2 linked regions of the Macaca mulatta genome follow. The protein of the gene in region 1 purifies or fractionates together with the protein of each later gene. This does not show direct contact. Links are inferred from orthologs where the notes say so. Each region holds a gene or a part of one and is shown in the gene's direction. Other genes may lie near its edges.

Region 1 (5,290 bases):
GCTGGAGTGCAGTGGCCGGATCTCAGCTCACTGCAAGCTCCGCCTCCCAGGTTTACGCCATTCTCCTGCCTCAGCCTCCCGAGTAGCTGGGACTACAGGCGCCCGCCACCTCGCCCGGCTAGTTTTTTGTATTTTTTAGTAGAGACGGGGTTTCACGGTGTTCGCCAGGATGGTCTCGATCTCCTGACCTCGTGATCCACCCGTCTCGGCCTCCCAAAGTGCTGGGATTACAGGCTTGAGCCACCGCGCCTGGCCGTTGGTTGCATTTTGTTTTTGTTTTTTGGAAACAAGGTTTCACTGTGTTGTCCAGGCTGATCTTGAACTCCTGGATTCAAGCAATCCTCCCACCTCAGCCTCCCAAAGTGCAGGGATTAGGATTATAGGTGTGAGCCTTGTGTCCTGGCCATTGTTCTGTTTGTTTTTGTTTTTTGGGTTTTTTTTTCTTTTTTGAGACAGAGTCTCATTCTGACACCCATAGTGGCACAATCTCGGCTCACCGCAACCTCCGCCTCCCGGGTTCCAGCGATTCTCCTGCCTCAGCCTCCTGAGTAGCTGGGATTACAGGCGTGTGCCACCATGCCCGGCTAGTTCTTGTATTTTTAGTAGAGACAGGGTTTCAGCATGCTGGCCAGGCTGGTCTCGAACTTCTGACCTCAGGTGATCTGCCCGCCTCAGCCTCCCAAAGTGCTGGGATTACAGGTGTGAGCCACTGCAACCAGCCCCTGTTCTGTATTTTTATAAACTCTTCCAAAATTGGAAATTTTTCAAAATGAAAAGTTGGGGAAAATGACATTTAGAAATTATTGAGTACTGTGTCTGCTTTAACAGCACATATATTAAAATTAGAATGATACAGAGAAGATTAGCATGTTCCCTGCACTAATATGACATGCAAATCTGCAAAGTAGTGAATACTTAAATATGCTGTGATTTTTTAAAATTTCACCAAGTTACCCTGTTTGTATTGAAAAAAGTACAAATGAGATTTAAGGTTGAACCTTAAGACTAACAATAGTAAATCTGCACCTCAGTAACTTTTAACTTCTACATTCCTAGGGTTGCCATCTACCAGACTTGGCACCTTTCTAGAGAATCGTGTGAATGACTTTCTGAGGCGACAGAATCACCCTGAGTCAGGAGAGGTCACTGTTAGAGTAGTTCATGCTTCTGACAAAACCGTGGAAGTAAAACCAGGCATGAAAGCAAGGTATCTAGTCATTTCACTTTTCTTCTCTTGTGGATCCAAAATTGCTCATACGTGGTTACCATTGGTGATTGCAATCTGAATGAATTTATGTTGTGGTCCTCCCACTATCTCAATTGTATAGGTTTGTGGACAGTGGAGAGATGGCAGAATCCTTTCCATACCGAACCAAAGCCCTCTTTGCCTTTGAAGAAATTGATGGCGTTGACCTGTGCTTCTTTGGCATGCATGTTCAAGAGTATGGCTCTGACTGCCCTCCACCCAACCAGAGGTATGACTGGCTCACAGTGGCTAGCTCCGGATTTGTGTGGGAGTTCCAAATTATAATAGGCGGAAGAGTATAACAGGCAAGAAAATGTTGAGTGTGCTTGGTTTGGAAATGCAAAATCTCAAGTATACAATAATTGTAAAGTGAAACAGATTAAAAAGCAAACCCCCAAACAAAATAACTGCTTGATTCTGCTCTTCTGTGGCCATAATAATAAAGGATATGAATAGCAACCTGAAATGGGAATTTGGAAACAAACGTACTACTCTTCAGAAAATGAGCTTAAATCTGGATAATGTATAGGAATCACCAAATACTGATGGATGTGTATGTGCCAGGCACTGCTAGTTACTTCAAATAGAAGGAAACCACAGGCTCGCTGAACTTTCCTGAAGGGTTCACAGTGGAGTCGCCCACCTGCCTGTGATGAGTTTCATAAATAACGATGTGAGCAAAGAGCCTGGGAGAGTGAGAGAGAGTTATTAGGCACATGGAATAAATAACTCAGTAGATTTGACTTTTCTTTTTTTCTCTTCATTTTGTATAGGAGAGTATACATATCTTACCTCGATAGTGTTCATTTCTTCCGTCCTAAATGCTTGAGGACTGCAGTCTATCATGAAATCCTGATTGGATATTTAGAATATGTCAAGAAATTAGGGTAAGCATATTTTGATAAATTTTTTTTTATTAGGACATTCTGGTGAGATACAGGTTAAATTTGCAAATATGTAACTCTTTGCCTTTTTTTCCTCATTTTAGTTCTTACCTAACAAGTCTCTCAACTTTGTTAGAGCCCCTTCGAAGTTAATGTTGTCAGTAGGAGAGAAATGGATATGTTGACTCTATCACCTATCCAACATCAGTTTTGTTTTGTTCAGCTGAGCTATTGGGTCCAGTTTGCTTTGAAGTTTGATTTGTGCCTCTCATTTGAGGGCAGAATTTTAACTGCATTTGATCCTTTTATAACCTGGGTATCAAGACCAGAAACAGCTCTGGAAATACTTCTTACCTTTAGAGTATGTATGTCATTGGAAACATTCATTCCCTCATCTTGAAGACTGTTTCTCTGAATAGTGTGCCTTTTAATTTAGCTCTCTTGTTAAACGGGTCAATTTTCCTTCACAACGTAATCTTCATTTGGTCTTAACATGCAAACTTAGGGTTTTTGGATCCAGGGCTAAGTCATCTGCTTTCTGGCTGAGATTCACAACATCCCGCCATGGCCTCCAAAAATAAGTAGAGGCAGTATGAGATCCATTGTTTAAATTACTGTGAGTTATGCCTAATTTTGGTCTCACAATGTTAATCTCATGCTGGGTTATACACTGTGTTATCTTGGGAAAAATTATTGGTATCTATATCAACTCCACCTTGTGGTTTTAAAGTGTAGCCTTCTAGAATAGATGATCTTTTTTCCTTAATGTTCTCTTTGTATTGCTAGTTACACAACAGGGCATATTTGGGCATGTCCACCAAGTGAGGGAGATGATTATATCTTCCATTGCCATCCTCCTGACCAGAAGATACCCAAGCCCAAGCGACTGCAGGAATGGTACAAAAAAATGCTTGACAAGGCTGTATCAGAGCGTATTGTCCATGACTACAAGGTCAGTTGGGACATGGGGGCCAGGTGCTGACAGTAGATCTGGAAATACACTAATGTTGCTGCTCTGTATTCTGTCATTTAACTTTTTTTTTTTTTAAACAAAAGTCTTATTTGTTCTACCTCTTGCATGTAATTCCTAAAAATGCTAATTTGTTGCTTTTATTTTGTATATTCAAAATTTTCTAATGTAAGAAAAACCAGGTTTTGAAGAGTGGTAGATCAAGAAGATCAAGAGATCCCTGTTTTAAAAAACATGTAACCAAAATTTTATTTTTTTTTTTTTTAGGGGGGTACAGTTGGGGTATCGCCATGCTGCCCAGGCTGGACTTGAACTTTTGGCCTCAAGCAGTCCAAAGTGCTGGGATTACAGGCATGAGCCACTGTGCCTGGCCTTAAAATACATCTTTTTGTTTGTTTGGTTTGGGTTGGTTAGGGTTTTAGGGGTGGGGATGTTTTGTTTTCAGACAGGGTCACTCTCTGTCACCCAGGCTAGGGTACAGTGGCATGATATCTGCTCACTGCAACCTGTGCCTCCCAGGCTCAAGCCATCCTCCCACCTCAGCTTCCTGAGTTGCTGGGACTACAGGTGCACACCACCATACCTGGCTAATTTTTGTATATTTTTTGTAGAGACAGGATTTCACTATGTTGCCCAGGCTGGTCTCAAACTCCTGAGCTCAAGTGATCCACCCATCTCAGCCTCCCAAAGTGCTGGGATTACAGGCATGAGCCACCTCACCCAGCCAAAAATATGGTTTTTTTTTTTTTGTTTTTTGTTTTTGGACAGTTTCACTCTTGTTGCTCAGGCTGGAGTGCAACGGTACGATCTAGGCTCACTGCAATCTCTTATTTCCCAGGTTCAAGCGATTGTCCTACCTCAGCCTCCCGAGTAGCTGGAATTACAGGCATGCACCACTACACTGGGCTAATTTTTTGTATTTTTAGTGGAGATGGGGTTTCTCCATGTTGGTCAGGCTGGTCTCGAACTCCCAACCTCTGGTGATCTACGTGCCTCAGCCTCCCAAAGTGCTGGGATTACAGGTGTGAGCTACTGCACCTGGCCAAAAATATATTCTTTCTTAATACTATTTTAAACATTCATGAATATAGGCTGTCTCATGATACAGACTTGTCTTCCTCAATTTAGTAGTTCAACTAAATAAAGAAGTTTTCCTAAGCTGCCCAGCGAATCATTCTGCAGCAGATACTGTTTCCAGTATTTGTAGTTTTGGGCATTTTGAACAAAGCTATCAATAAAAGCTGCTGAAATTCCAAAGATGGGTGTGAGGAGGGCATGCCTCACACCACATACTCTGTGGTAAGGGCCATGGCTTGCATGATGGTGCTACCACCCTGACATCGATCCTCGCAGAATAATTGCCACTTGATTATATAAAGGCAGATAAGCTCCCTGCTTTTGTGGGTAGAAGAAATAGAAAACCAGAAATACTGACTTTAGGCCAGGCCTTTTCACTGTTTTTCTAAATAGCTCCCTGGTTTATGGCTTAGGTATATAGTCTCTGCCAGCTTTCAAGACATTTTAAGCTTTCATGTTTCTTGTCAGCCATGATTCTTTATAATCAATGCTTTAAAAGAACATAGGAATTCCTATTTGTACATGCTTGTTTTCACAGGATATTTTTAAACAAGCTACTGAAGATAGATTAACAAGTGCAAAGGAATTGCCTTACTTCGAGGGTGATTTCTGGCCCAATGTTCTGGAAGAAAGCATTAAGGAACTGGAACAGGAGGAAGAAGAGAGAAAACGAGAAGAAAACACCAGCAATGAAAGCACAGATGTAAGGGCATTGAGTTTCCTTTGAAACTTCTATAATATTTAATCCAAAAGTGCATTTAAACTTTCTTTTTTTTTTTTTTTTTGAGACGGAGTCTCGCTCTGTCGCCCAGGCTAGAGTGCAGTGGCACAATCTCGGCTCACTGCAAGCTCCGACTCCCGGGTTCACGCCATTCTCCGGCCTCAGCCTCCCGATTAGCTGGGACTACAGGCGCCCGCCGCTGTGCCCGGCTAATTTTTTCTATTTTTAGTAGAGACGGGGTTTCACCATGGTCTCGATCTCCTGACCTTGTGATCCGCCCGCCTCGGCCTCCCAAAGTGCTGGGATTACAGGCGTGAGTCACCGCGCCCGGCCTAAACTTTCAATTGGGTTTTAAACCTCTCAGGTGTGAAAGAGCTCTTTAAGTTGGGCAA
Region 2 (5,996 bases), on another chromosome or scaffold:
TACACATTTACGGGGTACATGTGGTATTTCGATACACGCATACAGTGTTGTAATGATCAAATCAGAGTGTTTAGGGTATCTATCACTTTGGACATTTTTTTTCTGCCCTCTCTCCCCTGTCACCTTGAACGGTTGTCATTTCTTGTGTTGGGAACATTTCAAATCTTCCCTTCTGGTTATTTTGAAATATATAATATATTGCTATTTACTATAGTCACCCTACTGTGCTACTGAACACTAGAACTTATTCCTTCCATCTAACTGTATGTTTGTACCAATTAACCAACCTCTCTTTGTCACCCCACCTCTCTATATATATCTCTTAAAAGCATCCCATCAAAAGCAGTATAGTTAGTTCAGGTAGGTCATTTAAAAATTTTTTTAGACAGTCTCTGTCTTGCTGGAGTGCAGTGGTGCCATCTCAGCTCACTGCAAACTTCACTTCCCAGGTTCAAGTAATTCTCCTGTGTCAGCCTCTTGAGTAGCCGGGATTACATGTGTGCGCCACCGTGCCTGGTTAATTTTTGTATTTCAAGTTGAGACGGGGTTTCACCATGGCAGTCAGGCTGGTCTCGAACTTCTGACCTCAAGTGATCTGCCGTCCTCGGCCTCCCAAAGTGCTGGGATCACAGGTATGAGCCACCGTGCCCAGCTAGGCTATTTTTTTTTTTCCGTGTTTTTTTGTTTGTTAAAATGGTCTATGGACGTGCCATCCCCACCCCGCAAAAAAGAAAGAAAAAAGACTTCATGTCTTGTATCATTTGCCAACTGGTATGAATGAAGAAATGAATTTAATTCCTGTGGCCAAATACTTTGCTCTCTAGGTGGCTGGACTAACACTTTGCAAAAATGGTATGGCAATAGTGTAGAACATATCCCCACTCCTGAAAAAACAAACAAACAAAAAATCTGAAAATGCCTAAAATATCCTTTCTAGGGAAAGAGCTACCTTCCACCCAACAGATCCAGGTAGGAACAGAGTGATAATAGTGACTTCCCTTCCTCTCTCCCAGTCTACTTTTCACTTTTCACCTGTCCTGCTCTTCAGGGCACCCATCTCTTTTTCCCTTCCCCCCACCCCAAATCAGGTTATTTTGTGACTTTTATTTCCTTAAAAGTTTTTGTTGTAAAATAGTACACAGGTTATACCATTCAACTTTGAAGTTATTTTTCCAATTAAATGAGACTACAAGGTCTTACTATTAGGAGAGATGAACCTTATTCTTGGACTCAGAATTTTGAGTCTCGTTTCCGCATGTTTGTGGTTTTTAGGTCAATTCCCTAGAAATTCGATCTTTGTACAATTAAGAGCAAAGTAACCATACAATGTTTCTGATCCTGTGAGCATAGGCGGTTAACTGCTTTGGAACTGGGATGCAAACTCGCTATCTCACAAATGGATTACCTATTAAGTTAGTACACACAAAATCTAGTTGAAGTGCTTCACAACCTCATCCACCAGCACATCATCACATATCACACAAAATACAATCATCACAGTAATGGGAAAACTGATTCTTGAGCCAGATTTCTAAAAAAGAGGTATTGTGGACAGTGTTTCCACCTCTTGAATTTAACTTCTTTGTTGGCAACTATACTTGAAGGTAACAGGGAGAGATATCTCTTAGTTGGCAAAACACAGACATAAAACCTCAGCATTTTCCCCCAGGATGACAGCAAGATATCAAGGTTGCCAAAGAAGGAAGGAGTTTTAACCTAATCCAATGAGTGAAACAAGATTTTAAAATACAACAAAAATGTTCCAATGGGGGAAAAAAGGTACTTCACCAGTTCACGACTTTAAAAACGTTGGCAATGGTTGATGGGCTTGTTTCAGGAGATATCTGACTTGGTACCAAGAGGATTAAGAGGCTGGGGATAATACGTTTGTGCAGCAAAATGATTATGTGACTGACTTTTTAAAAAAACAGTATTCTGCCCCATTGGATACATACACATACCACAGGTAAAATGAAATATACTTTTAAGTGCCCGTTTTGGTGCCACTGGCCAAAATTAAAACTCTCCTTCCGTATGTGAGGTGACTTGAAATTTTTTTGCTTTAAATGCCTGCCTTCACGGTACGTGAAAGTGGGAGACCGGTTGGAAAGCTGGGGCTAAGGGGGCTGGGAGCGAGATGGCTGTCTGTGAATCAGAAAGCTGGATGTGTGTGAGAAAAATCCTCCTCCAGCCTCGGAGGGGGTGTCTCCCCTAATACCAGCTCCCTCCCCCCGGGCTCGTGGGGCGGGTCTGGTTTGCTCAGTAGCGGCAGCGGCCGCAGCAGCAGCCCCGGGGCTGAGCGGCGGTGCCCTCCTGGCAGCTCAGGCAAGCGGCGGCTCCAAGAGCGCGAGGCCCTGGGGAAATCCGGCCGAGGCTGCTGCCGGGATGGAGGTAGCCTCCAGTGGAGCCGGAGTCACCGGGGACGAATTTCCTCCCCAGCTCAGCTCCCCTACAGCTTGGCTAGGCCTGCTCCGAGCGCCTGCGAGGTGGAGGAGGCCTGCGCCTCGGGCCTGGCAGCGGCAGCCGGCGAGAGAGGCGGACACAGCGGGGTAACCGGCGAGCCGTAGCCGCTCTCGGAAACCTACGCTGCCACGGCCGCTCATTGTCTCGCCCCTTCCACCCGGGGGGCAAACAGGAAGCGCGCCGCCTGGCACAGCGACGGACGGGCGCCTGGACCAATGAGCACATCCGACGGAGAACACGGCGGCGAATGAGGGCCAAGAAGAGGGGCGGGAGTTCCGGGCAGGCTGTCACCCTCTTCCCCCCTTTTGGGCTGGAGGCTCCACCTTTTGTGTTTCCCGCACAGTCAATCAAAATAGGAAAAAAAAATCCCCGGACCGCTCCGGCCGTGTCCGCCGCCGCTTCCCGCATCCTCTCCCGCCGCCGCCGCCTTCGCTCCTCACCATGTGTAAGGCGGCGGGGAGCCCCGCCTGAGGTGCCCTAAACACACTATGACCGGTACGTAAAGCCGAGAGAGCAACCCTTGCTGCTGCCGCCGCCGCCGCTGCCGCCGACCACAGCCAGCCCGGGGCCGCTGCCGCCGGTCCTGGCCCCGTGTGTGCGACCGAGTGTCTGTGAGAGGCAGAAAGCTGCACTCCCCTGCGCCTCCCTCCCCTCCCCGCCAGCCACCGTCCACCCCCGAAGCCCCAGCAACGCCGTCTCCCCGCCAGGCCCCGGGGCGGGCGGCCCGGTCCGCCGGGAGCGCATCCCCCTGTGTGCGGGCGCGGGCGGGCGTGTGTGAGTGACTGACGGTGCGAGAGGAGCGAGCGCGAGTGAGAGCGAGCGGCGCGAAGGGAAAGGGGAGGAGAGGAGAGGGGGCAGGGGCAGCGCGGGGAGGAGGAGGAGGAGGGAAAGAGGAGGAGGAGGAGGGTTACAGGCAGCGGCGGGCGGGGGCAGCAGCAGGAGGGGAGGAGGGAGCCGCCGCCGCCGCCGCCGCCGCCGGGGGGCGGGTGGGGGAGGGGAAGGGGCCTGGGTCCGGGCTTTGGGAGTAATTTCGCCTCGGCCCGCGGGCCCCCTCCCTCTCCGCCACCCGCCTTCCTCCCCACCCCCACCCCCCCGCGCTGTGCCTGCAGCTCCCGAAAAGCCCGTGAAACAAGAGGAAATGGCTGCCTTGGACGTGGACAGCGGCGGCGGCGGTGGTGGCGGCGGCGGCCACGGCGAGTATCTGCAGCAGCAGCAACAGCACGGAAACGGCGCGGTGGCGGCGGCGGCGGCGGCCCAGGTGAGGAGCGGCTGAGCCCCGGCCCGGCTCCCCCCTCGCGCCGCTTTCTCCTCCCCTCGCCTCTCCCCTCCCTCCTCGCCTCACCCCTCCCTCCTCGCCTCTCCCCTCCCCTCCCCACCCCTCCCCTCCCCCCGCCTCGGGAGCTGCCCGCCCGAGGCGCCAACGCTCCGACCCCGCCCGCGACGCCCCGCCCCGCCCGCCTGCCGCCTTTTTGTGCGCGTGTGAGTGTGGGCCCCAGCGTGCCCTCTCGGGGGTGGGTTCCGGGCGGAAGGCGGAGGCCCGGCGCGCTAGCCCGCCGCCCGCCTGCCCGCAGACCGGGGAGCCGGGGTTCGTGGAGCGGGGGACGCCAGGCGGGGGCCGGCGGCGGGACCAGGAGGAGGAGGAGAGTGCGGGTTGGCGCTCGCCCGGGCGCAGTCGGCGGGGATCGAGTCGCACTTCCTGTGCGAGCGGCCGCCCGGCCCTAACCGCCACCCCCTCCCCCTGTCTCCCTCTCTGAACCCGCCCATTGGGGGTAGGACACTCAGCCGTCACCGCTCGCTCTGCTGGCCGCTACCTGCAGCAAGATAGGGCCGCCATCGCCGGGCGACGACGAGGAGGAGGCGGCCGCCGCAGCCGGGGCCCCCGCCGCCGCCGGAGCGGTAAGTCCCGCGCGCGGCCCGCCCCCGCTGAGGCCCGGCGCCCGCCATCCGGGGCCCGTAGCGCGCCCGCCCAAAAGGCCTCCCCGGCGCCCGCGCTTCTCCCGAGCCGCACGGGCCGCTGGGCTCCAGGGCGCCCTTTCCTGCTCTTTCGCGTCCCTGTTTGGATTTGAAGCCAGCCCAGGCTTTCTCGAAATTGTCACTGCGGCACCTCGCGCAAAATTCTTCACAAAATGAAGTCTGAGAGGGCGGGGGTAGAGGACTCCAAAATGGATGTTTGAGCAATTCCTATCAGTGCTGAAAACTCCTTCGCTGAACACTACAAAATTTTCAAGCACAGCCTATCGGCCATAGATAGTATCAACTAGAAGGAGTGTCTTTAGTTTTTAGTATTTTTGAAACTGGAGCATTTTCTGTTGGAAGTTACAGGATCTTACTGTTTTAAATCATACATTATTTTTAAAAAATGGGGGTTTATTATTTGAATTATCCTTTTGTATGCAGGAGTGAACACTTTTTGCTTTTTTAGTGACCATTCAAAATCGTTGATTTTTAGTTTTTGCAGACTACTTAAATTTGCAGTGAGTTTTTTTTGTAAGGGGCGTAAGTGAAACATTTAGCAGCCTTTGAAATTGGCAAGTTGCTTAGATAGTACTTTATCTTTTGAAATTGAATATGACTATCAGTGTTAGAAAAGTATATGTAAGAAATTGTATTTACATGCATGCTAATACTGCAATACTTACAGTTGAATATGATTGGCAAAAGTATATTTTTGTTTTATTACGACTGCTAGTCAGGTAAGATGTGGTGGGATTCTTTCTGTAGTGTTTTCACAGTGTCCGGGGCAAGGGGAGGAGCTCGCCTGTGTTATGTGAGGGGTTAATACAAATAGGGTAGGAATAGTTTTTAGACTGTTAATTGTGAATTTTACATTTGGATCATCACTGTTGTATTGTGTAGATTTGTTCACCTGTTAAAATAATGAAAACCCTCTCGTGTGTGTGTGGGGGGGGGGTAGATCATAGGAATTGATTTGTGGAGTGATATTTTGAATAGTCACTGAAGAAAGAGAAGTTTGGTATTTGGTATAGTCTACAGCAAATGGTTAGTACGTCCAGATTTTTTTTTTTAAGTTAAACCAATGTTAAGCTATTATTGGTAAATAGATTTGTAATTTTAGTGTTTCGTTATAGGGGATGTGAATAGTTTTAATGTCTTTTTTATAAGCAGATTAAGATGTAAAAATGTAAAATTGTATTAGGCATTGTTATTTTTAAATACATTTATGGATTGGTAGGCCTTTATTTCACCTCATTTCAGCTTCACTAAGGGTTGGTAGACCTTTTTTATGAACTGTATCCCTCTAGTTCCTAAGTGCCAAAAGAAATTGACTATCTTAAACTGCATAAGTAAAATTGAAAAGCAGATTGCTTCTACTGATCTTTTTTGTATTTCAAATGGAACAAAACTTTTCTTGTAGCTGTAATTTGTAAAGTTTAGGTATCAGTTTACAGATGGGGGAGGGGAGAAGTAAGGAACTATGGGTGAAAAATGTGTATGTACATATATATGTGAGTCTGAGGCCCAAGGATAGAATACTGTCTCCAGCCTTAGCCAGCTGTGGCCGTATGCTTGTA

What was found. Proteins that work in one complex are often made in the same cells at the same time.
Region 2: the proteins of EP300 (region 1) and SP3 purify together in Homo sapiens (affinity purification with western blotting; 4 studies listed by BioGRID, with this or other methods). This does not show direct contact. The link is inferred for Macaca mulatta from reciprocal best matches to the Homo sapiens genes EP300 and SP3.

The regions. Positions count from the first base shown.
Region 1 is NC_133415.1:10,344,212-10,349,501, reverse strand, and holds part of EP300 (histone acetyltransferase p300), read left to right. Parts: intron 1-816; exon of another isoform or gene 817-919; intron 920-1,056; coding exon 1,057-1,207; intron 1,208-1,328; coding exon 1,329-1,475; intron 1,476-2,019; coding exon 2,020-2,133; intron 2,134-2,916; coding exon 2,917-3,082; intron 3,083-4,715; coding exon 4,716-4,880; intron 4,881-5,290. UniProt on the Homo sapiens protein: Functions as a histone acetyltransferase and regulates transcription via chromatin remodeling. Acetylates all four core histones in nucleosomes. Histone acetylation gives an epigenetic tag for transcriptional activation.
Region 2 is NC_133417.1:78,863,187-78,869,182, reverse strand, and holds the start of SP3 (transcription factor Sp3), read left to right. Parts: upstream 1-2,252; 5' UTR 2,253-2,951; coding exon 2,952-2,958; exon of another isoform or gene 2,959-3,272; intron 3,273-3,572; coding exon 3,573-3,721; intron 3,722-4,236; coding exon 4,237-4,359; intron 4,360-5,996. UniProt on the Homo sapiens protein: Transcriptional factor that can act as an activator or repressor depending on isoform and/or post-translational modifications. Binds to GT and GC boxes promoter elements. Competes with SP1 for the GC-box promoters.